2 linked regions of the Struthio camelus genome follow. The protein of the gene in region 2 interacts with the protein of the main gene of each other region in a biochemical or structural test. Links are inferred from orthologs where the notes say so. Each region holds a gene or a part of one and is shown on either strand. Other genes may lie near its edges.

Region 1 (10,696 bases), on a different chromosome or scaffold from region 2:
TTCTGCCAGTGCCAGACTCCGATACGGGTCAATGGGGACACAAACACGTACAGCTACAGGGCAGTGACTGGGGCAGCTACATTCATATCAGAAGGGGACACTTCTCCAAGGAGCTATGCTCGTGCACACCAATCAAGCAGACTCTGTGAGAGGAAGAAAGGAAAAATCTATAGGAGAGGAAGAGCAAGAGAGCAGGAGTGAAGACAAAGAGATATGCTTTCTCCCTATATCTTTGACTTACTTTCCACAGGAGCAAACTAAACCTAGCTCCTAACACCAGGATCCAATTCCACAGGCTTTTGCTAGCTTTAGCAGGCATCTCTGCTCCTCAGAAACTCTACAGAGACAGAGGTGCTCAATTAGTTGTCCCATTTTCATAAACGTGTCCAAGTATCTGAAGGGAGGATGTCAAGAGGATGAGGCCAGCCTCTTCTCCGTGGTGCCCAGCAACAGGACAAGAGGCAACGGGCAGAAACTGAACCACAGGAAGTTCCATCTGAACCTGAGAAAAAAACTTCTTCCCTGTGAGGGTGACAGAGCATTGGAACAGGTTGCCCAGAGAGGTAGTGGAGTCTCCTTCCCTGGAGATATTCAAAACCCGCCTGGATGTGATCCTGGTCAATATGCTCTAGGTGACCCTGCTTGAGCAGGGAGGTTGGACTAGATGATCTCCAGAGGTCCCTCCCAACCTAAACGATTCTGTGATTTTCCTAGAAGCATCAGGAAATAGCCATCACTTTACAAGCATTTTCTCTGGCCAGTAAAACTGGGCTGCTCTTACACAGTCCTACTCAGTAAAAACATGGGAAGATAAAAGGCTCCTACCCTTGACAGCTTTTGTCTTCTCTTTCTCATCCTCTTCTTTCTCTGAGCTCTCAGAGCTGCTCACAGGATCAGGAACTCTGATCTTTTCTGGGATGACTGCCTCCACATCACTCACCTTCCTTCTCCTGGAATTGGAGGGAGTTCTGAGGAAACAGATTTGATAAGAGTAGAGAGGAGGCGTCAAAAAGGGGAACAGCTCCTGAAAAAAGAACAAATCTGAACACTCATTAATTCAGCCACTCTCAGGTCTGACACAAGCCTCAGGACAAGCACTGTCATTCCTCCTCCTCGACTCCTGAGGGGAGGGGAGAGCTCCATAGGTAACCTGCAAGATACAGCTCTGTCCTCCTCAGGCAACTCCTAAGAGCAATATATCCTTTCAACACTTGGAGGAGTTACTGGATACAAATTTTACCTAGGACAAGGAAAGAAAGCATCTTTCTCACATTAGCAGAGAAGCAAAAACATATTTAGCCAGGCTGACGCTCACCACAGCAAAGGCAACCTGTAGAACAAATTCAGTCTCCACGAGACAGCTATAGCCAGAAAGAGCAATTAACCGATGCTACCCCAGGGTTAGAGCAGAGAACCCCAGACAGGTTCTGGTACTCTGTGAGGCCACGGCAACTGAAAGTAAAGGCTTCACAAGCCATTTGTATTTGGACACTTCAGCCAAAAGGAGATAAAAGTCAGGGTGCAGAGGAGGAGGGTTTCACTGGCATAGCTGTATCAGCAACTCTTTTGCAGGCAGGCCTGCAACTATTCCAATAATAATTTCAACAAAACATAGGGCAAGCCATGCAAGCAGCTACTATATTCCAACGCCTTCCTAATTCGGTGGCAGCTGATGATATAGAGACTATTGTGGGAATTCACACTGCATTTGACCAGGGCTCAGGGATGCACTGCACGAGAGTACAGCATCGCCTGCCCTCAAGCACTGGCCCTACAGCAGCCCAGAGCAATTAACTGCAGCATTACTCTGTCTAACTGCTCCCACTGCTTCTGGGGCTGAGCCAGTCCAGCTTCGCCACCTCACCCAAGCATCAGGCAGCTCTACCTGTCTTTCCAGTGAACTCCAGGACTAAACATAGCCCATTCTTACATAGGAGAAGGAGGCCATTCTTAAATAACCGCAAATCTCAACTGTTAAATTCACTCTGAAAGAGTTTAAGGAGAGCATCAAGGATGACCTCAGGCAGACAGAGAAGAGCTGCAGCACAGAATCTGGGGAAAGGCATTTTGAGGCCAAAAGCCTGTGAAGTGAAACAAGACGTGAGAATCACAGCTCACTCGCACGAGACCTCTTCAGCTAAGCAGGGCACCTCCTGGATAAACCAAACAACTGGTCAATACGTCCCCCATTTTGACTCCAGCCCAGACATAACAACAAGGGGAGACAAGGAATAAGAGGCAGACCTGTCAGGAAGAACTACAACATAAGGGCGACACCAGAGAAAGAGGAGTTAAACGTGATGCGAGTTCCTGTTGCCCTCCACGGTTTAAAAGTAAAAGTGTCTGGAAGGGTGAGCAGCAGAGCCCAGGATATCTGGCACACAGAACAGTCAGCATCAATACCCAAGACAGCAACACATTGTTATGGGGAAGAACCGCAAACCCAATTCCACACTCTTATATCTCCAGCTGGTCCCACAGCATCTCTCCTGCTCAGTTAAGAAAACCGTGGAGACGCAAGAGCAGGGTGCCCGCAGCCCAAGGCATTTTAGCAAAAAGTACTTCTGGAGCAAACACCCACCCTCCAAGGCTGCTAGCACAGCCAGACTGAAGAGTATCTTCACTCAGGTGCTCTGCAGCGCTGGCCAGACTCCACAGGCACAGAAAAACAGCTACACTGATCCCCCGTTAACCTGGCTCTGTGGCTTCAACCATGCCCATCTCTGCAGCAATGCACTTCTGCATCAAAATAAAGCAAGCAGCACAGAGAACGGGTGCAAATATCATCCCATGCTGCAGATGTGAAAGCCTCAGGCTGCAGACATTCATGGTGGGGGGTATTCAGCTGAATAACTAAGTGTGAAGCCATCGGGACTAAACACGTAAGCACGTGCAAAGGCAGGCTGAAACCTAAAGTGCCTTCCTTTAAATCATAAATTATGTGACCTATGCCAAGATGTAACTTCCCTGTAACAGCTTTGACAGTTCTGATTCAGCAGCCTCTGCTCATAGGCAGTTCACGTGTTCAGCCCACACTGGCCAGCGTCCACATCCCTGAAAAGCACATGGCTTTAAAAAAGAAAGTGAAATGAAACCGAAAAAGAGACTTTTTGCCAGTAGAGCATGGTTCTAACCCCTGTAATACTCCAGTATCACCCCCAACAGGCAAGAACAGCATCAGTTTCTCAAAAACAGAGCAACAACTCATCCCCAAGCTGAAGAAATTTTAACTTAATTTTTAACATCTCAAAGAAATCTATCTGAAAGCAGGGCCTAGCAGGAAAGTTCCCGGAGCATGCTTACTGTGGGAAACACCCTGACAAAAGGAAGTTCCAACAAATAGAGGCCACAAGCGTAACACGGCTTGGTTGCTAACGCGGTCTGGAATGCGTTCCTCAGCAATCTCCTCCTCAGACTTACTTTTGCCAGTGGGTAAAGATCTCCTCCAGAGAGGTCGACAGGGAAGGAAGCAGTTTCTGTGGAAGCAGAGAGAGCGCAGCTCAGTCGGCAGCCGCCGGGGAACGCGGCGAGCGGGGAGGGCAGAGGGGACACCTCCTCCCCGCGTGCAGGCGCTCCCCCAGCGAGCCCTCCTCTCCCGGAGGCCTACCCCGCCGCGGGCCGCCGCCTCCTCCCCTCGCTGCCGCGCACATACGGCCCCAGAAGCACATATATAACGGCACATATAGGGCACGTGTACGTAAGGCCGCCGCCGCCGCGGCCTGCCCTGCCCTGCCCAGGCCCCGCCGCCAGGCCCCGCCGCCGCCGTTACCTGGCCCAGCTGCGCCTGCAGCTCGCGGGCCGCCCGGGCGTAGCCGGCGCGCAGCAGGTGCTGGTGGATGAGGGCCAGCAGCTCCCGCTGCCCGCGGCCGCCCGCCGCCATAGCGCGCCCGGCCCGCTCAGGGCGAGCCCCCGGGGCGCTGCCGGGCCGGCCACATGCCCGCGCGACCCCCGCTGACCCGCCTGCGTCACTTCCTCTTCCGCCGCGCCCGCGGCGCTTCTGGGAAATGTAGTGCGGTGCCGCGGCTGGGTACGGACCGGTGAGCCGAACCGGCAACCGGGCCGCGCCCCGAACCGGGCCCTAGGAGCCGACCCGGGCTGGGAGGGGCCAAACTCGGCCCGGAACTGGTCCTGGAGAGCCGAGCTGGACCCCGAACCGGGCCGGGGGAACGGAACCGCGCCCTGAACCGGGCCCTAGGAGCCGAACTCGCTCCAGAAGTGGTCCTGGGGAGCTGAACCAGGCCCCAAACCGGCCCGAGGGAACGGAACTGGGCCCTCGGAGCCGAACCCGTTCCCAAACTGGGCCGAGGGAATGGAACCGGGCCCTCGGAGCCAAACCAGGCCCCAAACTGGGCCGAGAGAGCGGAACCGGGCCCTCGGAGCCAAACCAGGCCCCAAACCGGGCTGAGAGAGTGGAACCAGGCCCCGAACCGGGCCCTCAGAGGCGAACTCGGCCCTGAACTGGTCCTGGGGAGCCAAACTAGGCCCCGAACCGGGCCCTAGGAGCCGGACTGGGCTGGGAGGGGCCAGACTCGGCCCAGAACTGGTCCTGGGAAGCCGAACAGGGCCCCGAGCCCTAGGCCAGGGGAACTGAGCTAAGGACCGAACTGGGCCGGGGGCTCTGAATTGGATAATAAGCCAAGCTGGGGGAGCCGAGCCCAGCTGGAACATGAACTGGGCCAAGGGAGCCGAATCAGGAGCTGAGCCCACAGGACAGCCAGGCCGGGAGCTGAACCGGGCCGGGCTGGGCCAGGGAGCCGCACCAGGAGCTGCAGTGGGCTGGCCCAAGCGCTGAGTGGAACCAGGAACCAAACCAAACTGGGCTGGGGCAGCCGAGTTGGGAACCGCACCGGGCCGAGAGCCAAACCAGGGCAGGGGAGCTGAACTGGGACATGAAATGCGAGCGGTACCCAGACCTGAACTGGACCAGCCTAAGGGAACTGAACCAGTACAGAGAAGCTCCACCTGGACAAACCTGGAACTGAATCAGGCTAGGGAAAATGCTCCCAGCAACCAAACTGAACTGGGCAGGGAGAGCTGCACCCAGGAATCGAACCAGCCAGGGCAGGGGAGCCAAACTGGGACCTGAACCGGGTTGGGGGAAGAGAACCTAGAACCAAACTGGGCTGGATGGAGGTGCCCAGGAACCGAATCGGGAACCAAATAACGCCAAAGAAACTGTACCCAAGAGCCAGACCCAGCTGTGTCATGTGGAGGAGCCGTGCCTGGGAACCAAACCCAGAATCGAACTGGGCCAGGGAAGCTGCACCTTGGGACCAGCCAGAACTGAACCAGGCCAGGTGGAGAACACAGCCTTGTCTGGGAGACGGAGCAGGCGCTGCTGCTTCAAACACAGGCAAGTGGTGTCTGTGGAAGTCCTGACACCTTCATGAGAGCAATCCGCCCTCTTCTAAGCAGTGCCCAGAAGTTATTTCCAAGAGGAGTGGACAGAGCCTTAATTTTAAGCATTCTCCTGCAGTCTTGCGAACCTGAGGTGCACAGTGGTGTAGCTCAGACTCGTGAAAATCTTGAAATTGGCTTAGTGCTCATGAGATATTTGCAGTACAGATTGACACTTTGAATTTGCCGCTTGGCTCTTTTGTAGGATGTGTAGTGGGGTGCATTTTGGACCTTTTTCATGAAGCAAGGAATGCTGAAAGTGCTGTTCTGGGGAAGGAGAAAAGGGAGAAAAGAAGGGCTAGGACTGTTGCATCGTTGTACAGCTCTGCAGGAGATGAAGAGAAGCCACCAAATACTGCGGGACACTCACACATGCATACCGCTGTTGGCTGTGCTCATTGCCAGGGATTAGCACCCCTCCAAGGCTGGCAGAGTGAAGTTTCTGCATGAAGTGGGTTAACACTTAGCTGAAATTGATGGTGGTTTTAGATAACACGGCAGCTGCGAAATGTGGTGTCCCAGAAGTGGACTTGTGACCCATTCCACTACCCCAAATACGGATCGGCCGCCTCCAACGAAGAGGACAGGCAGATGGTGGAAGGGATGTGGACAGGGCGGTGATTATTACAGCACCATCCACTAAATCTTTCTGGGCCCTGAGGGCAGAGGCCTTGCTCCCGGAGGACTCAGGGGCTGAAGACTCAGGACTGATTTAATGTTGGATGGACGTTAAGCTGTTCTGAGGAGCTGCCGGGGCATTTTTGGACTAAAACAGGCAAACGACAAGAAGAGATGAGACGGCTCCATGGCACAAAGAACTGTTGGGCAGAGGCCGCGCAGCAGAGGGGCTGCTCTGTTACCACTCTCCCCCTCCCCATGCTGATACTTTCCAGGAAAAATCTGGCTCCCTTCACTTTGGTAGAGGTTTATTTTTGGAAGGTTTAATAATGTCCATGGTGTGTCTGTCACTCACTCAAAATACAGAGCCTTTATTTGTATTTATAGGCAAGATTAAATATAAAACTGGCTGTGCTCCAGCTGGCTCCTGCACCAAACTTCTTTGACACGAGCATCATCCACAGCAGTAAAGCCACTGGCCAGGTGGCAGTTTTACAGCTCCTGTAAATGAAAGACAGACCTGGCTCGTCATTTTTAAGGGTGACCTCCCCCTACACAAATGGTTATTGATGCTCAGAGTAAATGTGGATGCGGCATCTCTGTGAGAGCTACAGGCCTCTGAACCAAGACGGTGTTCCAGCAAGACTGCCTTTGCTTTGAAATGTCCCTTGCAAAGTGGTACAAGGCCCTATCAGCTCGAGGCCTGGTGTGGAGACCTGATTCTCTTAACCGGAGTGGAAGACGCAGGTAAGAAAAGCACCTCAGGACAGCAAAGCACTGAAGTGTGTTTCCTGGGGAGGTTTCCAGGCGAATGAACTGAGCAGGACAGGCCAGGACTGAGCCCGTAGAGCTGACAGCCTGGGGCAGTGGCTTGGAGAGGATGATGTCGGGGGCCTCTGAGAAGGAGCTTGGGATGGGATTCAGCCCCTGTGATTTACAAAGGACGCTGCCTGCTGCAGGTATACTGTGGAACAGATTTTGACCTACTTTGACATGGTGCCATCTGGAATGGCTTTATACTTCCAGGAACCTTTTTGTTTGTTTTGTTTATTTAAAATTTTTAAAAAAGTCCCCAAACTAAACCAACCCTTGTCTGCTGCCACCCCTGCGCGCTGCGGCGCATCTGCCTGTAGAGTCTCAGGGAGTAAATGCTGATGGCTCACTGATGTGGGGCGCTATGGAAAGACCCATCACCTCATGACAGAGGGATGACAAGGGAGGCCCAGCAAGGGTCTGCAGGGCGTTTTGTCAGGGCTCAGGGCCTGTTTTGGAGGTAAGTTGAAGGTGTTCAGCAGGGCCAGATTTTCCAGAGCCCTCTGTTTTCTCTTCGCACCAAAGGAATGATGCTTTTCAGCATGCTCGGGGGAGTTTGTTGCGTAAGTTTCTCCTCGTGTCAGACTTCCCAGAGTCCAACAAGACTCTGTTGAGTGAATTTTGAGGCTTCTCCTCTCCTGAGGTTCAGGACTCACGTATGCTAGCGAGCATGAAAGATAAGGCTTTGAGCAATTTGGGTAGCACATGGATGGGAAGAAGACAGAGTTGAACATAAACGGGGAGCAAACGCGTTCAGGAGGGATTGCTCTCTAGGAAGGCAGACAGAGTACGTTAAAGCCCTGAGTGCCCATGCACAAATGGCTTTAAAAATGCCTCCATTTTTTTCCAAGTGGCTCTTTACAGGTCTGCTGCAGTTCAGGGTCACTTGAGTCCAAAGCTTCATACCCTCAAACCATGAACGGCCCTTAGCAAGCCGCAGATCAGGGCCTGGTAGTAACACAACCCACTTGAATGAATGAATCCGAAAAAAAATATATGCTGCACCACAATTACAGGTAGAGAAGGTATTTCAGGCGTTTAGTAAACATGGCAAATAATAAATAGAGCTATTCAGTCAGCAAACAGCTGCATGATTATAAATAGGAAAATCTACCCCAGCCCAAAGCCAGCTGAGACCCAACAACGTACAGTTATTAAGGAGTGATTTTTCTGTGCGTTTTTTGGAAGGAGGTTGAAAATATTTTGCCCACTCTTTATTTTAGGAAGGTGAAATGTCCCTGGTGGATTTCAAAAGCTAACCTCTCGGGTATGCATTTTCCATGCCAAGACACTGAGTCACAAAGAGATTGCAGGAAGCTGTTTCAAATCCAGACAGGGGATAAAATGGCTGTAATTTAGTAGCCAGCTCAGCTCAGTCCGCTAATAAGCGCACCGCCCTGTCCATGCCCTCAGCCTTACAAGCTGAGAGCTTTGCTTGCTGCCACTTTCACATGTTATTTGGTTATTGCTTGGGGTTGAACTTGTCCACACCTATTCCATTCTGAAAGACTGCCTGTGTCCAGGCCAAACCAGAGTTCAGAGAGCACATTAGCTGGCTGGAAAATGCTGTCATTCCTCCTTTGTGCCGTATGGAAGCTGACAGTCTCTAGGCATGCCTGTTGGACCCTTGGGCTTGCAGGGACATCTTTCTGCTCTCCCTTGTTTAAGCTGCAATCATCAGTTGCGTGTGTTTGTCCATGTATAAGTCTCTGGCCTTAGTGCGTTGTAGCAGGGAGGGGCACGTCATCATTGTGTGAACTGGTCAGACCTACTTGTTTGGTGACCCTAAGTGAGGTGCAGTTTGACAATATGGGGTTGGTTCTGTCTTTTGGAGGTTGCACAATTACGAACTGGGCGTCATGATTTTATCCTTGGAGATGCTGGGGTGATCCTTAGTGATCTTTAGACATGCTGGGTATGCAGTGCGTATGGGGTCTTGATACCGAGGGATCCCAGGCTGCGTGCCTGAAGGAGTTTCTGACTCCAGCTGCTTGTGGTTGCACCACAGTGGTGGAGCAGAGACAACAGAAAAGGTACTTTGCCGCCTTCTCAGCTGGTGCAGCTCCTCACCTGATCCGTTTCATCGCTGCTGATTTCAGCCAAAATATGAGCTGCGGACAAGCCGCTCGTCCTGCCCCTGCTCTGGGGCAGGATCCTCCAGCCAGGAAGTGGAATGGGTGGCCTGGGACAGGGACCTTGTTCCATGCTGCAGGTACTCTGGTGAGTCTCGTGATCAGAGCCCTGGCCTGGTTTATGAATCTGACCTGTATGTTACCTCAAGGCAAGATCCAGCAGGGTTATCCTGCTGACACGTTGGGATTTTGTCCTGTTAGGGATTAACGACCTTTCTCGTTGCTCCAAGGCTGGGTCAATCCCATTGCCAGCTGCAGAGCTGCCTGGGTCAGCCGAGATATGCTCCGTCACTGCTGCCCCGTATCCGCATAGCGGGGCCAGAGGGGAGCTGTTGCCCCTCCCGCTGCGAATCGTTCCCAGAGCTTCCCCTCCTCCCAGCTGCCTGAGGAACAGGCTTCACGTGTTATGTCTGTTCACTATTTGAAGTGAGCGCTCTGCGGAGTCAGAAATCTTGGTCCCTGCAGCCATGAAGTCGGCTGAAAGTATAGGCTGTGCTTAGGAGGAGAATTTGCATGGCCCAGTTCAGAAAGGAAGCTGAGCTGAATTCCCCCACTCTGACTGCCCCTGTCAGGAGGGCTTTGATCCATCTCTCCTGGACTGTGCCCTGGAGTGCCATGTGGGCTGGCTCAGAGGAGAGGGTCCCATGCAGCAAGTCGTCACCCCGTCTGGGCACAGATTGGCCTGAGGTGACCAATCAACCCTGACCGTGCTCAGCTGGTCAGAGCTGGGAAGCTCCCTGCAAGGAGGCCCAGAGAGCAAAACGGTTCCCAAATTTCCACCGGCTCCTGGGTCCTTGAGATGAAATGAAGTGTGTTGCTGACAAAGGAAAGAGTTGTTTTACATAGCCTCTCTAGGGTGGCTGATCCATGGGACCAGCTGCCTTGGCCATTCTGGTGTCTCGGTCTTGTGGATGCTCTCCGACGGGGTAGCACAGGAGGTGGGGATGGGTCAGGGCAGGGGGGTGGGCAAGAAAGACAGAGGGAGATAAAGGGAGGAGGACAGTGAAGCCTCAGGCACACTGAGGAGAGGAGGTGGGAACATAGAGGAGAAGCTAGACACAGTGAGGGAAAGGGCAGTGGTGCAGGGAGACATAGGGATGTAGGGAGAGGTTCTCATTTCCAAGGGAAAATGAGGCAGGAAAGGGAGGAAGCAATGGAAGATCAGAGGAGAGACGGAGAAGAAGAGGGAACAGAGAAAAGCCAAGGAAAAATAAAGCCGTAACAGTGGTTAGCTTGGGGGAATTTGTTTGCTCGTGCCCGTGATTTGACAGTCCTTGGTTGGTGTTGCTCAGCTCTGGGTGTATGGAGAGAGGGTTGCCAGGTGCTGTTCTGCGAGGCTTTGAGTCACGGAGGATATCTGCATCTCTCAGTAACGTTCCTGGGGGAGCGCATCGCGGGCTGGAGGCAGGCCCTGGGGAGCGGTGAAGGCAAAATTGGCCACAGCAAAGCGTCACTGCCATCTTCCCTTGTCTGCTGGACTGGGTTTGGACTTTAAAAGGAATTGCTTTAGAAACAGTCTTACTTAGGAATCCCTTTTCTTTCCCTTTTGTTTGGCTGTTCTCTCCCCCCTCCTCCTTTTCTTTGTCTGCTAATGCACAACAGATGGGAGGAAATGCCATTTTAAATGCCACAGCATCCTGATGAAATGCGATGGGTTATGGCAATCTCAGATGAATCATGGCATTGTTTTGTGTACACAGCCCTGCTGCTGCGGCTCACCCTCGCTCAGGCAGTTT
Region 2 (10,170 bases):
CCATTGGCACTACGTTGTCCCTTTTGTACACAGCTTTTGGCCATAGCCTGTGCAAACATGGGAGGGATTTTCTCTAAAAATGTCTCCTCCAACAGAGGCATACGGATGCATTTGGCAAATATTTCCGGAAGGTGCACTTCTCTCTTATTTTGTTCGTGCTCAAACCACCTTATAATGCTGTCATAAACATGTTCTTCTTTGTCTACATTTAAATCATCACTGTTGAGTATACTTATGAGTTGGTCTTTTCTCAACTGAAGAAACTCTTGCTCTTTGGTGACACTCAGAAACTTTTTACGAATGTAGTCTTGTGATCTTTCTTTGAGCTCCTGATGACCATAGTGATCAGCAAAGATAAACACCCCAATGGAGTTCTGTGGGTCCAAATGACTGATCATATATTTAGCACACTGATCTTGTATGGAAGGGATCTGGAAGATACTAGCTGCAGTGAACAAAGCTTGAACGTTGGCCTCTGTCAGCATTACTCTGGAGGTATATGCATAGTTCAATACTAAATGCATTGACTCTGCTTCAACACCAACTATACGAACTTCTTTCTGGGTACTCTCCGTAAGGCCGCTAGTGAACATAGATCTGCAAAAGAAAAAAAATATTTAGCAGTTTATTTTTAATCACCTTCTAACTACAGGTAAAAGAAATCAAACTATATTGAACAGCTAATCCCAATGTGCCTGTCCTTACACCAGCACAAATACAATTATCGCTGACGTTACGCTGTCCTGCCTGGGCACCTAAATGTAAGAGCAGTTCTAGACTTCCTGAAACAAAAATTGTCAAACTGGAATTCTTTACTTAAGCATCTCACTAACTGTACATGAAAAATTACTCAGCTTATAAGCAAAATTCTTAAGTTCTTAACAAGTCTTTAAGTGCAATGTCCAACATGTTATTTCTTATGTATGTATTCTAGCATGCTAGAATACATAACTTTAAAAGGAAACAAATAGTTGAACTGTGCTTTGAACTGTGCTGTTACTGTATGCAAGAGTCCCTCAATACTGGAGGATTTTTTAAGTACATGAGATTTTGTCCAGAGAAATGCTCCTTTGAAAAAAACAGATACTGATAATTCATTGGCATTAAAAGAATAAAAATATTTACTTACTAAGCCCACTATACGGTCATTGACAGTTACAAGGAATATTGTTAAAGATGTGTGTGTGGTTTTTTCTTTTTTTTCAATATCACATATGGAAAATAATGAGCTATAATTTCACTTTCCACTAGAACACTGGACCATATATTCATTATACCTGAAATAAGGACTGATTGCAGCAAGAACATTCCTATGACAGGAGAATGTTTTCCCATGATCCACTTCCACTACGATATCTGTCAGCTGTCCTTCATCATACATGGTTTTAAGCTGTTGAAGAATACTGCAAGCATGGAAGGGGTCCATTCCGCTGCTGACTGTGTTTGAAGAAGGAATTCCATTCAGTGTTTGTGAAAACTTACTTGGCTCTATAAAGTAAAATAGAAACAGTTTTACTGTATACACACACAGACAGAAAGAGGGCATGCACTAAGAATAATTAGCATAGGCTAATATTCCTGACTTCTTCTGTGCCATCATCCATTAACAGCACGTCTAAAACTTTCAGTGATGACTAAAGACAAAGATATTTCAATTTTTCCCCTTTTCCAATCTATTATGTAAATTAATCTATGAAATTATAACTATTAATTTTAAGAAAGAACATTTGTAATAAATACAAAATATTTACTTATATCACTTAAAAAAAAACAAACCACCAAGTATCACAATGCTTATTGCCTTGTAAAATGGGAAGAATAAAGCACGTAGAAGAATAAAATAAACCCTCAACCTAGATTGCCATTAGGCATGTCTGCATGTATGTACTTAACTTTACACTGAAACAGGAACTGGTTACTAACTTGCACAAATGATTGGAAATAGTACAGTCATAAAGAAACAGCCTTTGTATGTAGAGCAGCAAATCTATTAGATAAAGTCACATAAATTTGTATACATGATTACATGTTTTTCTTCACAAATAAAATACTATTACAATTTAAAATTACTCAGGTGTGAAGGAAGTCACATCGTTGTAAAAACAAGTTAAGTGAAGCATATGCTTCTAAATAACACATAATATGCTTAATGAAGTAAATCCCAAAGCGAAAATTGAGCAATATCTCAAGCGCAAAAATCTATTTCATAATAGTAACAAGATTTTTGCGCAACAACAACAAAGGAGAGCTCAAAAGAAAAACATTAGTTAGTAAGAGTTGCAAATCAGGTAATGCTGCTGACTGCAACCGAGAACACCTCCAACACATTTAGGGCTACACAAAGGGGAAGAAAGGACAGTGAACAGCAAGAATGATGAACAGAAGGTTTAAATCCTATCCCATGGTGGTATTCAGCAGCTACAATTTCTCTTAATCAGAACGCAGACACAACTTTGAGACAGTCCCAATTAAATCAGTATGGATCTGCCAACGGGCACACATTTCTTATAGCAGGCGTGGGGCCAAATACTGTCAATATCTCTTCAAACTACTGTTAGGAAAAGTCTTGAAAACACCCTTCCCCAAATAAAACAGTAAATGCCATACTTTAAGCTCTCCTTTCAGAGATCTTACTTTTCTTTATTACAATAACAGAGCTGCAACATTCAAAACAAGCAAGTCATAAGGGAAGGGGAGAACTGCACTTGCACATTTTCAGAAACAATGTTAATCACTACTGAGTAAATTCCAAGCAAATAATACTTTGCTAGATCAATTCCAACACTTCATAGCAAAGTTCTGACACGTAAGAAAACTCTTATGTATCCAGTACTGCATGAGAGTTTCATTTCCTTTCTACCATTGAGAAGCTTCAGAATAGTTCTTCTCCAACCTTGCCAGTTACTCGTCCAGCACATGCAATCAAGGCAGTTTCCAGCACTGGTGGAAATGGCCAAGAATTGATACTCATTCTCATGTCCCAGTATTTCTGCCCAATCCATGGCATTACCCATCTTACAGTTTTTCATGCTGTGAAACCTTCCCAGTCACTCTCATCACCTTTCTTTTCTCCCTGCCATGGGCATCTTCTTCATCTATTAATATTCCTCACCATTTGCACCCCGAAACTTTTGCTCTGCTCCTCCTAGATATCTCCTCCCCCAAAATACTGCCCACTTTCACCTCTCAAAAACTCCTCCCTTCTTCCTCTACTCTCCACAAATCCAATCTCACAGAAGTCTTTCATCAAAGGGTACCCAGCCCTCCTTCTCTGCTCAGCTCCCCTCAAACGTACACAGTGTGAAGGTATCCCCGAAAGACAACCTTCCTTCCACAAACTCCCCACCACAAGCAAATGACCATGCACACCTCCCTGCACAGGGTACCTCCCTAGACTGCTCTCTGCCTGTAAACAGGCCCTCTTCACCCAGGCTTCCTCCTACTTCCTGTCCCCAACCCTAGACCCCATAGACACCTCCCAAACAACCCTCCTAGGTATAATCTTCCCCATCCAGCACTGACACCACCCACTGCAGGTGCCTCACCCAAGCACCCCTGCCCCACAGGAACACCTAGGATGCCCCCCAGCACCCCTCCCTCACACACACCCCCAGACACTCCCCCAGTGGGGCACTCACCTGCCAAAACCTCTCAGTACAAAACCCCCCAGCATCCTCCCCATGCGCCCCTACAGACACCCCTCAGCACAGAAGTCCCCAGCATCCTCCTTATCACCCCCAACACCCCTCAGCACAGAGGCCCCCAGCACCCTCCCCATGTACCCCCCACAGACGCCCCTCAGCATAGAGGCCCCCCAGCACCCTCCCCACGTACCCCCCACAGACGCCCCTCAGCACAGAGGCCCCCAGCACCCTCCCCAGACGCCCCTCAGCACAGAGGCCCCCAGCACCCTCCCCACATACCCCCCACAGACGCCCCTCAGCACAGAGGCCCCACAGCACCCTCCCCAGACGCCCCTCAGCACAGAGGCCCCCAGCACCCTCCCCACATACCCCCCACAGATGCCCCTCAGCACAGAGGCCCCCAGCACCCTCCCCAGACGCCCCTCAGCACAGAGGCCCCCAGCACCCTCCCCACGTACCCCCCACAGACGCCCCTCAGCACAGAGGCCCCACAGCACCCTCCCCACGTACCCCCCACAGACGCCCCTCAGCACAGAGGCCCCCCAGCACCCTCCCCACGTACCCCCCACAGACGCCCCTCAGCACAGAGGCCCCCCAGCACCCTCCCCACGTACCCCCCACAGACGCCCTTCAGCACAGAGGCCCCACAGCACCCTCCCCACGTACCCCCCACAGACGCCCCTCAGCACAGAGGCCCCCAGAACCCTCCCAATGTACCCCCCACAGACGCCCCTCAGCATAGAGGCCCCCAGCACCCTCCCCATCGCCCCCCACAGGCACCCTTCAGGAGAGACCCTACCTCACAGCCGCCCCTCCCCCACAGGCCGCTCCTCACCCCCCTCAGCACGGCCGCCCCTCCCCCACCCACCCGCTCCGCCTAGGCGGCCCAGGCGCACCGACCTCCTAACGCTGCCATTCTCGGGGCCCCAGCTCCGGCAGCGGGAGAGGGGGGCAACCCGAAAGGAAATGTCACCGGGGCTGCTTCCCCTGCCCCGCTTCCTCCCCGCGGCCCGCTTACTACCGCGGAAGCCAACCCCGCTCCTCGCACTGCCCAGCCTGGGGCGCGCTGACTGGCCGCCGCCCCCGCGGCCTGCCGGGAAATGTAGTGCCGGCGCATGCTGGGGCATGCTGGGAGCTGTAGTCTCGCGGAGGGGCGGGGTGCCTGGGAGTTGTAGTTTCCAAGAGGGGCTGCGGGGGGGGGCAGGCTCTGCCCGTCGCTTAGCAACGGCGGGGTTGGCGCAGGGGAGGGGGAGTCGCTCGGCAGAGCGGCCATTTTGGGGCCCTGCGGCCTCCACCCTCAGCCAGGGGCATGAGAGCGATCCGCGGCGCCTTTCCATACCCCTGCTGTTGGCCACCGCTGCCCTCAGAGTGTTCCCCTCTCCGGGGGCACCCAGCAGAAATGGCCCCTCCATGGACATAAATCCCCCCCCTCTCATTCCTACCTCATCAGTTTTACAGGCCTTGCAGTGCCTCCTGCAGCACAAGCTCCCAGGCCCAGCAAGGGCGGAGGTGTCGCCCCAGCGGCGCCCACCGGGTGGGCTGGGGACAGCGGCCACCACGGCCCACGCTCGAAAACCAGCAGAGAGAAGCGAAACAGAGAAAATACTTGCAGGCCTTCTGACACAGCGAGGGCGCGGTCAGGGCACAGAGGCGTTTGGCTGATAGATCCAGGACTTGCTTGGGCCGAACTGCTCTTTCCTCAAAACATATAACCAGCTACTCAGGCTGCAAGCTCAGCATGCCAGGAGTGGTCATTTTGTTCTGTATTTGTACGCCCCCCCCCAAACGCCCGGCACGCTGCTGCCAGCCAGATTAGCAATGCCAGTGCTACCTACAGAGGCAGCTAAATGCCTCTAGCAACCATTTTGCTGCCAATGACCTTTAATATTACAAAGTACATTTCTCTCTCTGTCCCAGAGATCGAGTGGCTGATAGTTGCCAGCTTTTTTGGTTATCTGCAGTGACGAGCCACTGGTTTCATTCTTGATAACTAAGTCATTACCAGAAATTTGCTGTGGGTTTTTTTTTTCCTTTGTGAAATGCATTTAATGAAAGAAGAATTACCAAATACTAGAAGCATTCAGAAGGCCTGTGGATTTTTCTGTTTTTATTAAAATAGATTATTTTAATAGATTCAGCTTTGCAGCTGAATAGTTGGCTGAGAAGTTTGTTTTGTAAAAATCAATAAAGCAAGTGAATGAAAATTCATTTAAATAAGATCTTAAAGACACATTTCCCTTTAACTCTCAGAAATAACATACCATAGGTACATTACCAACAGTCTAAATAAGAAGAATTTAAAAGCAAGACTAGTACTGCTCCGTGACTGCCTCTTCTGTGGTTTTGCTTTCGCTTGCAAGGAATAGCTTTTCCCTAGTTTAGCAATTATCAGTGGTGTCCAGGCTGCTGTCGATAATAATACTACACAACATGAGAATGATAGAGACTGTGATGAAAGAAGTGTAAAAGAAAATAGAACTTCACGTCTGCAAATCGATTCTGCAGTTTTCCAATTTCCCCATTCAGCACTGGCCTGGGTTGTGAAATTGACCCCAGAAATATAAAACGAAAGGAAAGGAGAATACCTCCACTCTTACCTTTTAGCAAATGACATTGCCTGATGCAATTCATTTCCTTCGGTGTGGACACTTAGGCTGGGCTGGATTAGTGTGCGAAATGCAGGAGTGAAACGGAGAATGTTTTTTAATATAGATACCACACTGAGCCAGTACTTCAGAGTGAAAAGTATTTCTTGCAATAGCTTACCTTTGTAAGGTTTTTGGCAAAGCAATAAATTGCTATACAGGTTCAAATATTCTGTAAGAGGTATTGATAGCAGCTCTTTTTCTTAGTTAGAAGTCTTTCTCAAGTGCCTAATACCTCATCACTCAGTCCTCTTTCTGGAAACCCTCATTAGCACTCCTTAGCACTAAAAAGATTTAGCGCAATATAACACTCCCATGGAAATCCAGGGGCCAGGGTTCTTCATCCAGGTCTGCATATGATTTGCTCGGTCTCTCAGCTGTAAAATGAGAAGCATGTTGCCTGAGCAAATTATGTCACTTAGTATGTAAAAGCTAGATATTATAAATTGCAATTGCATTGCATACAAACATTAGGACCAAAACTTTCAGAAATTACAAGATGCTTAGTGAGTTCCAGCTCCCTTTTTTTCTGCTGCATGCCTTTCTTTCTCTCTTTGTCTGTGTTTTGCCTGGGAATTAATACAGGCCCAGGATTTGAGCACAGAACTAGGAGTCAGAAAACTGGGTTATTGACTTAGTGTTAACACTGATTTACTGCATGCTGTTGATCAAATCATTTGATTTCATGGGTTTTGGCTTCCCAGAAGACAATGAGGAGCTGTGAATTCCTTTGAGATATATTGATGTAAATTCCCTTATCAATATTATAATTTCAGGTAAGTTTTTTTTTTATTATTATTTTTCTGGCCAGCAGTCCATTGCAACTGATTATACCATTTGAGATTTTGCAAGAATCCAAAACCGAGGACATTTCCTGGGTATTGAGGGACTGGAATGCTCTAATGAAGGCTTTAATTTCACACCTATTTCATCATTCCTGCACATACAGCTTGTAAACACACAGCTGAGAACACTTGGTAGAGAAAGTATTGTTTCCCATTTGATATTCAGAGACTCAGAAATAAAGATGAAATGTCGAATGAGAAGGAATTCAGAGTCTTATGAGTGATCACAAACATTGCTCTCTTGAGGAACTCAGAACTGGCACTAATTTTACTGGGATCCTTGCCTTCAGAATGAAGAATGTCTTTGTCAAGAAACCAAGCAAGAAGAGAGGGAAGGAAAAAGTTTTAGGAGAAAATGAGTAAAATATACTTTTCTGCAGATATTTGAGAACTTAGAGGATACCATCAAAAAGTTTTTTTGCAGATACAATTCAGTTATTGAAAATGTTTCCATTCTTTGTTACACATACGGAACACATTATTTAGGAAGTTTTGCTTCATCTACCTTCAATACAGGGACCGGGAACACAGTAGATCTTTGGCAAATTCTTAGCTTGGATCGTCTGATGAGAAACTGGCCAAACTATCCCCTGCTGGACAAGAGATAATGCCCAGAGCACTTCTGGGGATCCTGCTGATGTTTTTTTTCCTGTGAGCAAAATGCAGATAATAAATACCACTGGACCAAAATTTAAAGAAAAGTATGAATAGGGTTTCAGTCAAACAGCTTTAAAATGGAACAGTTTTTAAGCCAAAGGAATATTTCCATCTTTATTTTGTATAAAATGCTTAGTCCAAAATTTCAGGAAGAGGTCATTGCTTCCTCCTTGTACTTTTTTCTTGCTCCTCCCCTGTATGATTTTTTTTCACTGAAAAATGGAGGGCATAGAGAGAGGAAGAATCAATCTCTACTCCGCCATCTTCCCACACTCCTCCACCCACATACCACATAGTCAAAAAAAAAAAAGAAAAAAAGAAAAAAAAAGAAAAAAAAGAAAAAAGATGTGGAGAAGCTTCAAAGGGCTTTTTAGGTTTTCATGGCAACATTTTGAACCGTTACTTTTTTCATGAAACTATCCAATTAAAAAAATAGCCAATTTCCAGCAAAATTATTTAACTCTAAAATTTAAATATAATACTGGTAAAATGAATAATATTATTTGCTATCTCCAAAGATGTATCAATTAGTAACGTTGACAATTGTTCTGTTATTTGTATGTGTTAAATCAAGTCATACTGTGCATCTGTGAGAAGTAATACAATTGATACTACCGCACTCTGAAAAACCCTCATATTTTAATTGGAAAAATTTTCATATTCACTGTGGAACGATATAACCTTGGAAAACAATCTTTTACCAGTTTGTCTTTAATGCATAAAACTGCTCATTTTCTGCAATTCCGTCACCAAGGGGCACATTAATTTAGTTGCACAATTATTTAATAAATCGATACATTGATTGAAGTAGAGTTTTTTATTTAGTGGTTCCAAGAAATAACACATTTCTTATAGAATCTTTAAAAAGACACTTCTTGTTGCAGTTTAAGTAGGGGGAATTGCAGATCATTAGAGGAAGTTGCCCTTCAAAGCCAATTGATCTTAGCACACTGAGCACAGTGGGCGCTACATCAGAGGAGAGCAAGGACTGGCAGGGGGCAATTAATGGGGCAGATATTGGAGTGCCTTTTCTGATTACCCCATACTGTACAGTGGATTTGGCCTTGCTGAGACAGGCTGGTAGAAACAAGAACCCTGATGAGATATGGCTCTGCTAATGTCAAGAAGTGCCACTTCCTAGCAGCGGGAGCAACTTTATTGAAACCATCTGTTGTTTTGGAACACATGCGCACATGCACGCACACACATGCACACTTCCTCCTCCCAAAGTGTTTAACCTTTCTTTTAAGGCTGGCTGAAATCACACAGCTAATCCCTCCTTAATCTCAGAATGACAGGCCCTACTGTTTTCAGCAAGTCCCAGCAGCTACTGAAAATCAGAGTGACTGGTGGTGTTTAGGTGAAGTGACAGTGATATATTCTGGAGCAGTCACTTTAGAACAAAACACCCATTCATCCACTGTCACCACAAAGTTTTGCAAGACCAGTCTGCAATTACTAGCAGCCTGGCAGAGCAGGCTTGGGTACTCATGTATAGATGGGAAATCTATACTCCGATGGATCTGTTCTACCCAGGGGACAGAAGGAGATTCAGTGAGCCTGGTCCCACTGAAATCTCGTTTTTCAGCAGATATAACCCACCAGTGATCTCAAAGGAAATAGCCCTTTTTGGGGTACAGTGGACTCAGAATCTCATCCCTGTTCCAATTTGTTGAGTATTTAATCGCATTTTTATGCCACTCTCTCCTTAACGTGCCAGGACCCTTATGCTTCTCATGGCTGTGTTATAGAGAGGCTTGCATCAAAGCCCCAGCTGACAAAGTGTGGCAGTACCAGAGCATTCACTGAGACTGAATTAACTCTAGCATCCTTGCAGATAAAGTATTTCTGTCAGGATACACTGAAAAGCACATCTATGCATGTTTCATTTCTTATTCCTAAAAGATGTGATGAAAAGCATCAATTGAAAGTGACCAGCTATTTGGAACAAACACTGCACCTCAAACCTGGGCACTTTGAAAACCCTCTTGCCAGCGGACATGACCTGTATCACCCAGGCTTCTCAGCCACTCCTAAAACAAACCACACAGAAAGGAGAAATATGCAGGAAGAAGAATAAATAAAAACAAAAAACAAAACAAAAAACAAAAGGAAGAAGAAGCATCACTGTTCTTGCCTTAGGTATTAACAGAACCAAATTTCAGCCAGTAATTTTATCTCATCTCCAATCCTTTCTGGCCACCCCCTCTCTGCTTGTAGGAGGCCCAGGTCCAAGAGGCTATTGCAATGGTGGAAGAAGTGACGACAGAGAGGAGGGATAACTACTTCTTGTCCCTTTTCTCCTCCATTCATTTTTGTGCCTGCCTTTGCTAAAGCCCTCCAGCTTGCATGGAAAGAACCACATGGACCTTCAGGGAA

The links. The genes of interacting proteins can lie anywhere in the genome.
Region 1: the proteins of KBTBD8 (region 2) and TCOF1 form a complex in vitro, tested with the Homo sapiens proteins (2 studies listed by BioGRID, with this or other methods). The link is inferred for Struthio camelus from reciprocal best matches to the Homo sapiens genes KBTBD8 and TCOF1.

Annotation. Positions count from the first base shown.
Region 1 is NC_090954.1:7,459,594-7,470,289, reverse strand, and holds the start of TCOF1 (treacle protein), read right to left. Parts: upstream 3,974-10,696; 5' UTR 3,881-3,973; coding exon 3,770-3,880; intron 3,477-3,769; coding exon 3,421-3,476; intron 969-3,420; coding exon 826-968; intron 1-825.
Region 2 is NC_090955.1:13,899,353-13,909,522, reverse strand, and holds the start of KBTBD8 (kelch repeat and BTB domain-containing protein 8), read right to left. Parts: upstream 4,746-10,170; 5' UTR 4,561-4,745; coding exon 4,545-4,560; intron 1,489-4,544; coding exon 1,278-1,488; intron 598-1,277; coding exon 1-597. UniProt on the Homo sapiens protein: Substrate-specific adapter of a BCR (BTB-CUL3-RBX1) E3 ubiquitin ligase complex that acts as a regulator of neural crest specification.